Linked DNA regions of Elephas maximus indicus. The protein of the gene in region 1 interacts with the protein of each later gene in a biochemical or structural test. Links are inferred from orthologs where the notes say so. Each region holds a gene or a part of one and is shown in the gene's direction. Other genes may lie near its edges.

Evidence for each region. The genes of interacting proteins can lie anywhere in the genome.
Region 2: the proteins of DCAF11 (region 1) and SLBP form a complex in vitro, tested with the Homo sapiens proteins (2 studies listed by BioGRID, with this or other methods). The link is inferred for Elephas maximus indicus from reciprocal best matches to the Homo sapiens genes DCAF11 and SLBP.

The regions. Positions count from the first base shown.
Region 1 is NC_064828.1:35,475,891-35,483,443, forward strand, and holds the start of DCAF11 (DDB1- and CUL4-associated factor 11), read left to right. Parts: upstream 1-4,478; 5' UTR 4,479-4,622; exon of another isoform or gene 4,623-4,968; intron 4,969-5,199; exon of another isoform or gene 5,200-5,253; 5' UTR 5,254-5,278; coding exon 5,279-5,433; intron 5,434-6,686; coding exon 6,687-6,814; intron 6,815-7,078; coding exon 7,079-7,206; intron 7,207-7,482; coding exon 7,483-7,547; intron 7,548-7,553. UniProt on the Homo sapiens protein: May function as a substrate receptor for CUL4-DDB1 E3 ubiquitin-protein ligase complex.
Region 2 is NC_064823.1:160,014,612-160,022,347, reverse strand, and holds the start of SLBP (histone RNA hairpin-binding protein), read left to right. Parts: upstream 1-4,661; 5' UTR 4,662-4,792; coding exon 4,793-4,836; intron 4,837-4,997; coding exon 4,998-5,132; intron 5,133-7,736. UniProt on the Homo sapiens protein: RNA-binding protein involved in the histone pre-mRNA processing.

The DNA.
Region 1 (7,553 bases):
CCTATTATTCTTTAAGAAAAGTGACCACTTAGTTATACAAATATACAAAGTCATGGATTTGAACATATTTAATGTTTATTAGGAGCCCCTGGGTGGCGCAAACGGTTAAGTGCTTGGCTACTAACCGAGAAGCTAGTAGTTCGAATCCACCTAGAGGTGCCTTGGAAGAAAGGACTGTTGACCGACTTCTGGAAGATCACCGTCATTGAACACCCTGTGGAGTACTCTGAAACACATGGGGTTGCCATAAGTTAGAATCAACTCAATGGCAACTGGTTTTGTTTTTCAATGTGTATTAAATTATCCTTATTATGCTCAAATTGTCCTATCTTTGGCCATGGGAACTTGGCTCCTGAGTCCTTTTGACATGACCATAATATTCTTTGCTGACTTCCCTGCTATCTGGTATATAAAAAAAAAAAAATCTTGTACATTTCCTGCCCCAGACCTGGAATCAAACATTTCTCCAAGAAAATCTGGTTTCTTCTGGTGGGAAATGGCATTTTAAGACCACAGTCTCAGTGCCAGAAGTGTTCATGGCTACTGGATTGATCATTGTTTCTAGACCTTTTCAGTGGACAAAGATAGGAAAATAAAACATATAAATAAAAGTATTAGTTCATGCTGATACTCCCTATTCAAACTCAAGGTTACAGGGTTTTAGCCTCTTCTCTATTACATCTGTAACTCCTGTCCTCCACACAAAATGCTCTGGTTCTTAGCAACACGGGACACGAGAGTATTAGAATATCTCATAATTACTCAATTGCCTTATAGTCAACACACTTTAAATTCCCAGATAAATTAGTACTTTCCCTCTTCCTCCTACACAGAGAATGCTACAAGAAGACCATGTAGACACATGCATGGGCATCAGTCAACTCAGAAAGCAAAACTTTCCCTTCATGTTGCCCATGTCCCAAAAGCCTTGTGCAGTCACCAGGCTGGGGACTGGCACGAGAGGGACTAGCCAGACAAAGAGAAATTCGTTTTTCTTCTCTCTTCTCCAGCCCAGCCCGCCCTCTAGTGGAGATGTTAATGAACAGGAAACAGCCCAAGGCAGGTCGAACAGGAAGTCAGCCTGCTGACATTTACTTAGCAATTACCTGAAAAACAAAATTAAAAACCAAAGCCACTGCCTTTGATTCAATTCTGACTCACAGGCATCCTATAGGACAGAGAAGAACAGCCCCATAGGGTTTCCAAGGCTGTAAATCTTTATGGAAACAGGCTGCCACATCTTTCTCCCAGGAGCGCTGGTGGATTTCAATCAGCGACCTTTTGGTTAGCAGCCAAGTGCTTTAACCACGGTGCCACCAAGGATCCTGCAATTAGCAGAACTGGTTCTAAAATAACATAGGATTTCATCTCTGGATCCTTTTGAAACTTGCCATGTTGCTTGGTGACAATTTGTATAAAGTGCTTTTCATTTGGGCAGCCTCTACTCTCCCCAACTACACTTAAAGCCACAGAGAAGTTTCAAAACCATGAGAGGGAAGGTGAACAGAGCTTATAAAAATTATCTTTTAATTACATATTAAGTAATTACAATTTTCTAAAGAAATGCCACTTTATTTCTCTCGATAGAACACATATAAAGGCCTTTACATTTGGAAAATTACAGGTCACAGTGACAAAACCAAGAGTTCATAAGCTTAAAAATCTTTTACATACAAAAATTAGTCAATGGATCCAAAGATGAAATCCTATGTTATTTAACATTTGATTTGATGTTAAAGAGGACTCATTTTGGTCATAAAACCCCAGCATTGTTTAAAAAAAATTTACTGTGACTTTAAAATATTTTACTCAATAATATACAAGTTCCATGTTACAATTTGAATTAACAAGATTTTATTCAGGTTTAAGCCGGATTAGTAAATAAGAAGCGGTAGAAAAACAATCAACAATTCATTATTAAGGAGGTGAGTTTAACAGATTTTTTTTTCTGACCCTCAGGTGCACAAATTATATTCCTAATCCTTTGTTCACAATACACCTTTGTCATTGGTTAATGTAAGGCCTTCTTCATTTTATTATTTGTTTAATGATAAAAGGAACCCGGATATTTTTAGACTTTATGCAAAATTGAAACCATTGTTTTTGCATCTACCAGGCGGCGTTGCCAGAAGTCCTCACCACCACTTTTTTTTTTTTTAACTTAACAACATAGTTTTTACAATAACCCATGGTATAAAAATAGAAGACTACAGTATGTTTTTAATGATGGCATGGTATTTTACTGTCTATACCATGTAGACCACAGGTTATTTAACTAATACCATGCTGTAGAGTATTTAGATCTATTTTGCTTCCAGTATTTCACTGTTATTAATAATTGCTATACTGAACATGGAAACCCTGGTGGCTAGTGTTTAAGGGCTATGGCTGCTAAACAAAAGGTCAGCAGTTTGAATCTACCAGGCGCTCCTTGGCAACTTTGGGGCAGTTCTACTCTGTCTTACAGGATCACTATGAGTTGGAATCGACTCCACACAACCGGTGTGTGGTGTTATGCTGAACATAAATCTTTATGCAGGTCTGGGCTCAAATTCTGGAAGTGGTGCTACTGGGTCAAAGTGCAAGGATGTGAGGGAGTCTGGCTGGTGGAGACACCCGCGTTCTCGCAGATAAGAAATTCTCCTGGGAAGGAGCTGAGGTGGAAACAAGCAAGGCGTTTGTGGACATATATACTCGACAGAAGTAACAAAAAATGAAGTTGGTATAAAACAGACAACCAGGGTTGAAAATCTGTATTTGAAACAATAAACAACAGTGAATCACTTGTAGGTTAAGGAATAAACACTACATTAAGAGGATACTTCCTGCAGATCAACGGAGGGAGAGAGGCATGAAGTAATGGAAATTCGACCTTGGGCGGTAACTGTGAAACAGTTTCAACTAATCAGCTGAAGAATCTACAGGTTAAAGAACCGAATTTAAAGGGCAAAGAGGAAGGAAAGATTATTTCTGAAAATGATTCCAGACTGTCCAGGCTGGAAAATCCAGAAACCATGGAATCCTAAGGTTATAGGGCACAGACAGTAAGTAATCTGGCAACAGGGGATGGGTGCCCTGCAGAATTGGCTACATAATTTGTGCGCCCCAGCACAAAATGAAAATGCAGGCGTTTGTTCAGAGTTAATATTAAGAATTTCAAGACAGCGACTGCAAAGCATTAAACCAAGCGTGGGGCACTTCTAAATAAAGAGCTCTGTAGGACTGCACAGATCGCATGCCCATACGGCCGGCGCTGGCCTAGTGGTCTAGGGACCAGGAGGTGTCGCCCGAAGGACAGAAAACACCCTCATCATCTTAGGGTAGGCGAGCCCCAGAAGACAGGCCCAAGGGAACTAAGGGCCCTCACTCCCCTCACTACCAAAGGGCGCTCTGGGCGGATGAAAGCTCGCGCACGCCTAAGGGAGTGCAGGGAGTGCAGCACCGACCCAGACCTTTGCGCTGGGCACAACGAGGTCACTGTCCCTCCCTTCCCCAACAGAGCCCGGGCAAGGATCCCGAGACGTGGCAAGTCCCGGCCTTGGACTCAGCTCAGTTACTCATAAACCCGGATAAGAGGATGGGAGGCGGCGGTCGTGCACATCCTGGACCTGAGTCCAGGGGCGGGAGGCCCCACGAGGACACACAACCTAGGCAATCCGTGCAGTGAGGTGCCTAAGGGGCAACTAAAGGAACCCACGGGAAGCGGAAAGGCTCATAGAGGCCAACAGGTGCTTTAGGGGGAGTCTGCAAAGACCGCGGGGAGGGGCCAGGGATCACCTAAAAAGATGAGGGAGCGGCTAGGGGTCGTCTACAAAGGGCCATCCCCACGACAACGAGGCTTCCGGAAGCTAAACCCTGGAGGGAGAGTGTGGAGGCCTGGGGTCCACATCTGTGACGTGAAGACACCCCAAACGCGCTGGGATATGGAGTTCGTGCTTCGGAAAGAGCCGACTGAAGCCAGCGAAAAAAGAACGGCTCAAGCAGGGGAAGTTTCGGGATTGCCTGAAAAGTGCGAAGCGATAGGAACTTCAGGAACCGGCAGCAAGTTGTATCCCTTGCTAAGGTGTCTCGGTAGCGAATCACCAACCGGTTCTTTTGTAAGCCCCGCCTCTATGCCATTAAGTCCCGTTCCGTTGTCCCCGATCCAGGAAGCAGCCGGTTCCCCCCATACTACCTCCTCCCAACAGGAGTAAACGCCCCTCCTCTATCCTGCGCTTTCTTCTCCCCTCAGCCCCCTGGCGCAATGGTTAAGAGCTCAGCTGCTAACCAAAAGGTCGGCAGTTCGAATCCACCAGTCGCTCCTTGGAAACCCTATGGGACAGTTTTACTGTCCTACAGGGTCGCTATGAGTCGGAATAGACTCGACTGCATCGGCTTTTTTTTTAAGCCCTCTCAAGCTCTTTCTCCCGCCCACCTGCCAATCACCATGCTGCACTGGCCAGTTAGCGGGCCGGGGGGGCGGGACCACTAGGAGCGTCGCATGACGTAGGCGCTCCGCCGGCCGGGAAGCCGGGCGTTGCGTGACGAAGAGGCGCGTGACGGAGGAGCGGTTGGCGATGATATAGCGGCAGTCGGTGTAAACAAGGCCTCGGGCAGCTGCGTCCTGCGACCGTTCCTGGCTGGTGGGTGGTCTAGCGCGGACCGTAACCTCTGGCTCCAGCGGCTGGTGCTTCCCGGCGTCCTCCTGCCTCCTCTTTGATGTACGCACCCCCGGCACCCCACGTGGGCGTGAGGCAGAGGAAGGTGGGCGGTCGGCCGAATTCTAACCTCATTGGCTGTCACTGCTGCCTTCTTTCGCAAGAGACCGCTCTGATTGGTCGGTATGGGGGGCGTCGGAGGTCTCTGAGTCCTAAAGCTTCTGATTGGCTAGATGAGATAAGCTAGTGCGGCACTTTCTTCCGCGAGGGGTTTTTATTGGACAGCCGGAGTGGTTACCTGAGACTTCACTTCCCCCAGGGACTTTGATAGGTGAGTTTGGGGTAGAAAACTGAGAAATTCTTCAAATTATTTTCATTGGTGAGTTAGGGTAGCGCCTTAGCCTTTACTCTGCATTCTTTGCTTCACAAGATTGGGAAAGATTTGTGTTCCTGAAGGCTTGGGAGTTGTCACTTGCTAAAGAGAAGGGATCTGAGTTCCTAGGAAGGGTCATTCTCCTAGAAATAGTTACCGCCCGATCTCAGGAGATCCTGATATTTCTAGAGCAAGCTTTGCTTCACTAAACCCAAGGAGTTGACAGGAAGAGCCCCTGCACAGGTCCTAAGGATGCTGTGAGCAGAAGATGGGATCACGGAACAGCAGCAGTGCAGGATCCGGGTCCGGAGACCCCTCTGAGGGCTTGCCCCGAAGAGGGGCTGGCCTTCGACTGAGTGAGGAAGAGGAAGAGGAGGATGAAGATGTGGATCTGGCCCAGGTACTGGCCTATCTCCTCCGCAGGTAACTTACTTTCTAGTGTGTCCCCAACAGGCACCACCACAGTTCCTTGATCCCACCTCTCAGGCAGGAAAGTTACAGAGGAGAGGGAACAGGGTTGGCCCAGGGCAGCTGTTCTGTGTGAGCAGAACAGCCTTTCCCTGCTAGGCACCCGTGGCACTCAGCTCCATACCCAGTAAGAGTGGTTACCTTGCCTAGGGAGGGCCACCGAGAGGACCCACTCTTGTGTTTGAGGGGGCTGGTCAGGGCAGCCTTTCTGGCTATGACTACACAAATTTAATCTGTTTTCTAAGTAAGTAGAAAAAAAAAAAAAAGGGCCCTGGTGGGAAAGGAGTGAAGTGGGGGGTGAGGACAAGAGTTGGGAAGGGGGGAGTTGAACTTTAGCAAAGCCATTGTTATGTGATAGGAGGCCATGTGGGTGTACTTGAAAAAACAGGTTTAAATTGACCTACCGCTAATCCTGTTCTTGAGAAAGAATGACTTGAAGAGAGTGATCACAAAGAATTGACAGGAAAGGGGTGCTTTTGGCTTCTGGGGATAAGATGAACTTGGGGATCCCTTCAGACTGCTGAGTTCTATACTGAATTTCTCAGGCAGAGGCTCAGAAGGAAATGCTCTCAGAATTCTTAGCTCTTTGGGAAGTCAGCTTAGTTAGATCCGTCAACCTCCAGGGCATGAAGTGGTTCTCTCTTCCTGCTCCAAGAGTGAGAATCTGTTTCCTACTGTGTCCTGTATGAACCAAAAGACCAAACCTGTTGCCCTCAAGTCGATTCTGACTCATAGTAATCCTATAGGACAGAGAAGAACTACTCCATAGAGTTCCCAAGGAGCAGCTGGTGGATTTGAACTGCCATCCTTTTGATTAGCAGCTGAGCTGTTTACCACTGTGCTACCAGGGCTCCCTGTGTCCTATTAAAAAAAAAAAACCAAACCCATTGCCATCAAGTCAATTCCAACTCATAGAGACCCTACAGGAAGGAGTAGAACTGCCCTATAGTTTCCAAGGAGCGCCTGGTGGATTCAAACTGCCCACCTTTTGGTTAGCAGCCATAGCCCTTGACCACTATGCCACCAGGGTTTCCCTGTGTCCTATAGAAGACTGAAAATAACAGTCTAGTTAGCCTCAAACTCTCAAAATGGGGACAGTATGAGGGCTTGAGTATCAGGTGGTCTAAGAACTGGATAGCCACTGACCCTGAATTTGGTTGGTTTGGGGGAAGGGGTTCCCCCCTTTATCATGGGGGTTCTCTCAACAGAGGCCAAGTGAGGTTGGTGCAGGGCGGAGGTGCAGCAAATTTGCAACTCATCCAGGCCCTCTCTGACTCAGAGGAAGAGCATGACAGTGCCTGGGATGGTCGCCTGGGGGACCGATACAACCCACCTGGTAAGAAGGAAAGCAGACCAAGACCCTAAAGTTGGAAGACTAATTAGAAAACAGTTTTTGTTGTTGTTTTGGTGAAGAACCATGGGTTAAGATGAAAGAAGAAAAAAATGAGATAATTCAGGGAATGAGGGAGTCCTTACAGCTCCAGTATATTCAGCCAGCCACTTTGAGTGAGCCCCATCTTCTTACATTTTGGGTATGGTTATGGTAAGTGTCCTCTGGGGCTAGGAGACCTAGGATGAAACTTCTCCTTGGTACTCACAGTGGACGCAACCCCTGACACCCGAGAGCTGGAACGCAATGAGATCAAGACACAAGTGGAATTGGCCACAGGTCGTCTGGGTCTCAGGCAGGCAGCCCAGAAGTACAGCTTTCCTCGAATGCTGCACCAGGTAGGCCTTTCCACCTCTAGCCTGACTGCAAGAGGCCTGCTGAGATAGCCAGAAGCTCTGCTAGCCACAGAGAGGAGGGAAGTAAACTTTCCAAGAAAGACTCAAATACTTGAGCTGGGGAATTCTTGGCCAGCTGCATCAGAGTTTTGTGGGGCAGACTTCTGTGTGTGGAATCTATGTCTGTAGCAAGAGCAGTATCTTTGGAGGAGGGAACTTGGTATGGCTGAAGGGGTCCTCTGTTTCTGCTAGCAGTATTCCCCAATCCCTTCCATTTAGAGAGAACGGGGCCTCTGCCACCGGGGAAGCTTCTCCCTTGGAGAACAGTCTCGAGTGATGTCTCAGTGAGT
Region 2 (7,736 bases), on another chromosome or scaffold:
TCATTCTGTTGGACGTGGAAGTGCTGTGAACGAGAGCCAATTCGACGGCAACAACAGGTGTATGAATAATTTCAAATACAAGAATCAGCACGAAGCCAATTCCTGTGAGGCGGAGGCCAAGTATATCCCAGATTTCCACATTCTCCAAGCCACTGTGCCACTCCTCTCACACTGGCCTCTGTCCCTCCCCTCAGCACTCTTCCCGCCCCCACCCCATTTGGATTTGGCAATTCGCAGCAATGTTCACAGGACTCACAACTATATTTACAGTTAAGTGGTTTGTTAAGGAACAGGGTACGTCTTGGGATCAGGCTCAACAGGCTGCAACTCAGGATCAGGACCAGGAAACTAGGCAGTCTCCCTTCTTCAGTGCAGGACAGCTCTCAGCCCCTCAGCCCTGAAGGGCTCCTCTCGGCCCTGCCATCTGTCACCACTGACTCTGCTGCTGGGTCCCTTCCGGGCCAGTCGCTGTCTTCAGTGTTACAGCCATGTTACAGCCAGGGCTCCGAACCGGTTTGTTTGGATTGAACCCCTGGTGAGGATCTGCATTTCTAACTAGTTTCCAGGTGATGCCAATGCTGTTGGTTTGGGACCAATTCTCAGAACCACTAGTAGAGCAGTGGTTCTCAAAATTTATTACACATATGAATCACCAGGGATCTTGTTAAAACGTAGATCCTAATTCAGCATATCTGGGGCGGAATGCAAATTCTCAGCAGGGGTTCGAACAGGAAAGAGCCGGTTTGAAGCTCTGGTTACAGCTCTTTTAGGTCTCTTGCCTCCTTTCTGCTTCTCTCTTGCCTTTTCTCCTGTCTGCTACTACTTTATTGTGCTTTAGGTGAAAGTTTACAGATCAAATTAATTTCTCATTCAAAAATTTATACACAAATTGTTTTGTGACATTTCTTGGAATCCTCACATGTCAGCACACTCCCCTGTCCCAACCCGGATTCCCCATTTCCATTCATCCAGTTTTCCTGTCCCCTCCTGCCTTCTCAGCTTTGCTTTTGGGCAACTGTTGCCCATTTGGTCTCATACTATTGATTGATCTAAGACGCACATTCCTCATGTGTTATCGTTTGTTTTATAGGTCTGTCTAATCTTTTTCTGAAACGTGAACTTCGGGAGTGGCTTCAGTCCTTTCTGCTTCTGTCTCTTGTCTTTATGATGCTTTCTGTCTGAAAAATCTCTGAGGGGCTGGCTCTCTTTTTTTCTACACACACACACACAACCCCTTGTCAATTTCAACCCATGGCCCCTCCCAGTGGGGGGAGGGCAAACCGACCAATTCTCTCAATAGGCCCCAGACACTTCATTTGCATAGTAGGCTATAGTTACCCAATTTGCATACTTCATAGTCACTTAATTTGTGTAGGTATATTAACCAATCTCTGCAAAGTGCATACCAATCACAGGGCAGGCTGCAGCCCAGGGCTCGAAAAAAAGTCAAGTTGTTTAGGATTACTCAGGAAATGTCAGTCAACCTGCACAAAAGTAATAAACCCTCTGGGGTAGAAAACTAGGGCAAAGGTAACTCCTCAGGGTTTAGGGGAAAAGTCTCTGGAGTTGTTTTTCCAAAGAACCAAGGCAAAAGGCCACGTAAAGAGACCCATTTCACCACACAGTTGAGAAGGAAGTTATGTCGGGCCTTCAGAAAACCCATGGAAATATCGAAATGGCTTGGACAGGGTAAATCATGGGGTAAATGATCAAAGCTCCCAGAAATAAGGTTGATGGCTCAGAGGAAGCAGGGAGGGAAGCAAGTGGTATTGGTTGGGATGAGTTGCCCCTGTGTCAATGAGAAATGTGGTGGGATGCCCTTCAACTTGTAATTTCTCCTTGGGAGTTGAGTGGTAACGGAGGGCATTCGATAATTACTTCCCTTGAGGGGAGTTGATAGCCCTCTTGAGAGTTTTGAGTCTTTCCTCTTTAATGGCTGCACAGTCTTGAGCTCAGTGGCCTTTTTCTTTGCAATAGCAATAAGTATCCCAATCAATAGGAGTCCGCCTCTTAGGAGCTTGTCTCGTCATAATTTTCAGGCTTTTTTAATTGTAAGCCCATGAGTTTGTGTTGTGTGTTTTCTGTTTTCTTGGAGATACTCTCTCATAATGTTGGGCTAGAGTTTGAAGTTCAGTTATCTCTGCATTTTGCCAGTTATTTTTGGGTAATGTGTCATGAAGCTCTGGTTTAAGGCTGTTGACAAAGCTTGTGGCCAGAGCAGAGGCTGTCTGGGTATTTAGTTCAAGCCCTGAGTAACTTCTAATTGGTGGTGACAATTTACCAGTTTCATCTTTTTGCTGTCTGCAATTTTGAGCACACAACGAATCAATTTTAATAAGAATAGCCTCCGGTATTGACTGAATTGTGTCCCCCCAAAATATGTGCTGAAGTCCTTACCTCTGTAACAGTAGATGTAATCCCATTTGAGAATAGGGTTTTCTTTTCTATATTAATCAGACCATATCAGGGTGTGTCCTAAGCCGAACCACTTCTGAGTGATATAGATAGCAGTATGTTAAAAGTTAGGCTGCTAACCAAAAGGTCAGCAGTTCAAATCCACCAGGTGCTCCTTGGAAACCCTATGGGGCAGTTCTACTCTGTCCTATAGGGTTGCTGAGTCAGACTCGCCAGCAACGGTGTATAGACACAGGAGATTTGGTGGCCTAGTGGTTAAGAACTCGGCTGTTAACCTAAAGGTTGATGGTTCGAACTTACCAGCTGCTCTGTGGGAGAAAGATGTGGCAGTCTGCTTCTGTAAAGATTTACAGCCTTGGAAACCCTACAGGGCGGTTCTCTGTCCTATAGGGTCGCTGAGTTGACTCAATGGCAACAGGCTTTTGGAGACATAGAGCCCTAGTGGTACAATTGTTAAGCATTTGGCTGCTAACCAAAAGATCAGTGGTTCAAAACCAACAGCCATTCTGTGGGACAAAGATATGGCACTCTGTTTTCAAAAAGATTACAGCCTTCAAAACCCTGTGGGGCAGTTCTACCTTGTCCCATAGGGTCACTCACCATGAGTCAGAATTGACTCGATGGGAGTGGGTTTAGTTTGCCCTTTTTTTTTTTTTTCTAACCTTTATGGGAGCAGACTGCCACATCTGTTTCCCTCAGAGCAGCTGGTGGGTTTGAACCCGACACCTTTAGGTTAGCGGCCAAGCGCTTAACCACTGTGCCACCAGGGCTCCTTAAGTCTACCTTTACTGTGCTACAAAGGACTAGTGTTCAGGGCACTGGATCGGTGGTGGTTCCAATCCAGACCCAGGTCACAGCCCAGTAAAGGGCCAAAGAAAAGCAGCGGACAGTAGTTAAAATGGCAGGATAGACTTTACTCAGGCTGCAGCAGGGGACAGAAACCAGCAGCTAGTCTCAGCTCTGATTAGTACGAAGGCAGCTAGAGCTTTTAAGGGGCACGAGAGGGAAGAGAACCTGAGAAACTACTGGGAGAAGAGGGAAGGTGCATGGAAAATTACAGCGAGGGGGTCTGGCAGTGGTTCAGGCTGAGCTGGGTAGTTGTGACAGTTCACACCATCTAGCACAGCACGCGGCCAGGGGGCTGCCCAGGAGCAGGGCCTAGCACTGGCCGACGTCTGCACTAAAGCTTGGGCAAGGTTCTGGGGTAAGTCTGTGGAAGCACGTGGGCGAAGCAGGCATCTCTTGCAGGGGTTCGCAGGGGGAAGGAGGCCCCACAGTACTGGGCGGGAGGTCGGAGGCTCCCTTGCCTAGAGAGGCCGTGGGGCGGGGGGGGGTTTGGCGCGGCGGGAGTCCCGCGCCCCAGCTTCATTCTCACACCCCACATCCTCCTCCGTGCACCCGACCATCCCTGGGGCCCTCCTCGCTCAGGGTCTCCGCTTCCCTCGGGGCTCGGCTGCACCCTCCCCCTCGGAGAGGCCTGGCCTGATCCCTTCCGACCCGACGGCCCAGGGCGGCTGCTGCCGGGGCGAAGGCAGGTGCAGGTCTCGGGCACATCCCAGCCCCTCTTGCCTCACCCGGAAGGAATTCGCAGTCTGGGAGACCCCCGTCCAAACGGGCGGGAACCACGCGCCTTGGGGCCCGACGGCGGCTACAGCCCCAGCAGCTCCCCGGGTTATCACGCCGCGGGGCCGGGAGGACCAAACGCCCCAGACGCGCCTTCCGGGTTCCAGGTTTCCCGCCAGCGAGAAGGCTCGCCCCCACCTGGGACAGGCCAATGGGAGACTAGCCTCGAGCAAGCGCGACCTATCGGAGGCGCGCCCCACCGGGCCGAGACCAATCGAAGACGCTCCCTCTGACCCCTGCGCCGCGCGCGTCTGAATCTCCCGCCAATACCCCCCTCCTCCCGCGAAGGCGCAGCCAATCAGCTTCCGAGGGGCCAGCGGCGGCCCGGCTGCCTCAATACTCGAGGGGAGCAACTTTTCCCTCGGATCTCATGCAGACGAGGGCGTCGACCCGCCTCCTCAGACGGCGGCGACCGGAGTTAATGGTTTTGGTCGTCCGGGGTCCTGGACACTCAGCCCAAGCCTAGGCAGCCTCCGAGGCGCGCGCCGCTGACCTGGGCTCCCCCCGTCGCCGTGGACCCGATGGTTGCGCCCCGCCCGGCGCGCGCGGGAGCTCCGAGGGGCGGGGCCGGGGCCGCATAAAGGCGGTTGGGGGCGGGGCGCGCGCTCAGTCTGTCAGCGCCGGCGCGGGAACGGGTGTCGCTCTCCGGCCGCTGCTTCGCCGCCTTCGCCGCCACAGCTCGCGTTCCTGCGTCGCGGCCCCGCGGCCCCGCGCGCCTCCCCGCCCTCCGCGGCCCTCCGCCGCTGCGCTCGCCATGGCCTGCCGGCCGCGAAGCCCTCCCCGGTACGGCGACGCCAGGTGAGGCCGGGCGGAACGCCTGCGAGTCCCCGGGGCGGGCCGGGCCGGAAGCGGGCGGGCGGGCGGGCGGGCGGGCGCCCTCGGGCGGCCGGGCCCGGGGTGGGGGAGGCCGGGAGAGGCCCGCGCCGGCCGCTGACCGACTGCGGTCTCTTTGTGCGCAGCCCGCACTCGGCAGCCAGATGGTCCTTGGGGCGGAAGCGCAGAGCCGACGGGAAGCGCAGGAAGCCCGAGGACTGCGACCCCTCCGCGTCCCCCGACGCCCACGAGCGCAGGCGCGCGGACCACAGACTGGACAGGTGCGGGCCCGCCGGGACGCCCTCGGGCCCCGGGGTTCTCTCGGGGGGCTTCTTTCAGACGGGCGGCCGCGGAGTGAGTTCCGACTCCCGGCGGCCCCGGGGGTGCCCGTGGCCCCGCTCGTGCCCGTGGCCCCGCTCCGTGGGGTTTTCCTGCCTGGCCTCCCTGGAGAGATAAATCACCAGGCTTTTTTTCCACTGCACCGTGGGGTGGGCTGGTCGTCGGACGCAAACCGTTGGAGCCACCCACGGATCCAGTGGGATTTTCTCCTTGGTGGAGGCGGCGCTAGATGGACTTTGGTGGGACTACGGAAGGGGCTTGTGGTCTTTGGAAGTGGTGTCTCAGGCACATAGACGCCTTTGCTTCTGCTCCGCTTGTTAAAAGATGGAAAGATAACACCTCGTAGATGCAGTTTGTGGGTGACTTTCTGCCTGAGGAGGTCTTGTGTGAATGGAATGACCCACAGAGGGAGGTGGAGTTTGCTGGCTGCCTTCTTGACTAGTTAAGGCACTTAAAACACAACGTGACTTTGGAGTATTAGGCTGTTTGAGGCATTTCTCGGTGACAAATGTAAACAAAGCTTGGCTCACTCTAAGTCAGTTATTGAGCTCTTTGGGGTTCTAGGTAAAGTCCCTGGTGACACAAACAGCTTGCACTTGGCAACTGACATAGAGATCGGTGGCTTGAATCCACCCAGTGGCACCGCAGAAGGAAGGATCGGCAATCTGCTTACATAAAGATCACAGCTGAGAAAACACTGGAGCTCAGTTCTAGTCTTTTAATGTGTGGGGTTGCCACGAGTCAGAATCGACTGAACGGCAGTGGGTTCGGGTGGTTGTTTTTGGTGCTGAGTGACTCCCACCTTTGCATCGCTCTGGCAGTGAGCCCATCCCACAGTTCCCCACTGCTCTTTGTTAATCACCGCCGAGGTTTTACAGCAGCTCATTCCTTTAGCGCCCCGCTCACTGAAGTTCACGCTCCTGAGGGCAGGCTGTGCTCCCTTCAGTCTTCCCAGCTCCTGGCCCAGGAAGTGCTGGTGGATGAAATGATGAGGGGGGAGTGTTGCCAGTCAAGTGTGACACCTTGATCCCTGAAGGGGGATAACCAGGAGGTAACATGCTGCAACCAGAAGAGTTGTGGGCTGATAGATGGCATTAGCTTGAAAAGAGGAAGAATGACCTGGAAGTGGGAATGAGGGTAGCGACCCTCAGACTAGGCCCTGCTGTGGTGGTGGGTGTGGAAGAGAACCACTGCTCCTCGCCGAGTGGCGTGCTGGGGGTTCCCTGGTGGTGCTAGCACACAGCTGTCTCGTGGTACAGCAAGACCCTGAGTACTGCTGCTGACTCAAGTTGGGAAGCAGCAGCAGCCCTGATCAGGTGAGGCAAGGTGGAGCAGCCGTTTGTAGTGAGATGAGCTCCACGTGTAAGATAGGCTTTGGTTGACCCGTTGAGTACTCTCCCCAGAAGTAGCCTTGTCAGATAAAGCAGATCAGTGAGCTGTGAATAGCGCTGTCTGTCATACTCCCAAAGGATGTTCTGAGCAGTTAGTAAGTTCCTGTGTTGAAACGTTCCAGTTCAGGAACCTCACTTGGGAGCCCCAGATTGAACCTGTTGGTGGACTGAGTGGGATGTTTATGTCCAGCCCAGGACAAGCCTTCATTTGGTTCCAGGCTCTTACTTCCTGTCTAATTATTGAGTTACTGCAACTTTGTTAATAAGTTCATTTTGGTTTCAGATCTTTCAAACCCTTTTTTTGATCTGGAAACTGACTTTTGGGGATCCAGTTTGAGTTTCTCTGGGGGTGTGATTATAAGGGAAGAAGTAACGATTACATAGAAGCAGTGTCTAGTTTTACACCAGTGGTGGCCAGGGGAAATGGGACAGAAAAGTACAAATCTAACTATAAATTAAGTTTATAAACAACCATGCCGGATTTCTTGGCATTGAAGCATTTAAGTTTTCACATTGCCTGATCTTGACTAAAGATTTCTTTGAGCACAAGGTAGAACTGGGTCCTGGATTAGGTTTAACCCTACTCTAAAACCAAACCGAACCCATTGCCATTGAGTTGATTCTGACTCATAGCAACTCTATAGGACAGAACTGCCCCAGAGGATTTCCAGGGCTATGATCTTTATAGAAGGAGACTGCCACATCTTTTTCCTGTGGAGTGACTGGTGGGTTCCAACTGCTGACCTTTCAATTAGCAACTGAGTGCTTAACCACTGCCATTGGGACTCCTTAACCCAACCCTAGGTGGTACCTTTAAGAAGCCCTGGTGGCGCAGTGGCTGAGCACTCGGCTGCTAACTGAAAGGTCAGTTGTTCCAGCCTACCTGCTGGCTCCACAGAAAAAAAGACCTGGCAGTCTGCCGTGAAGATTACAGCCTGGGAAACCCTGTGGGACAGGTCTTCTCTGCTCTGTAGGGTTGCTGTGAGTTGAAATTGACTGGATGGCACCTACCAACAACAAACAACAGGCAGTACTGTAACAGTCGACTAAGTCCTAATGTGTCAAAGGCTCCGGCATCTGTACTTATCTCCTGTGCTCTCATTGCAGTGTAGTACGTTCTGCATGTCAGCACTGTACACTAAATGTTTATCATTT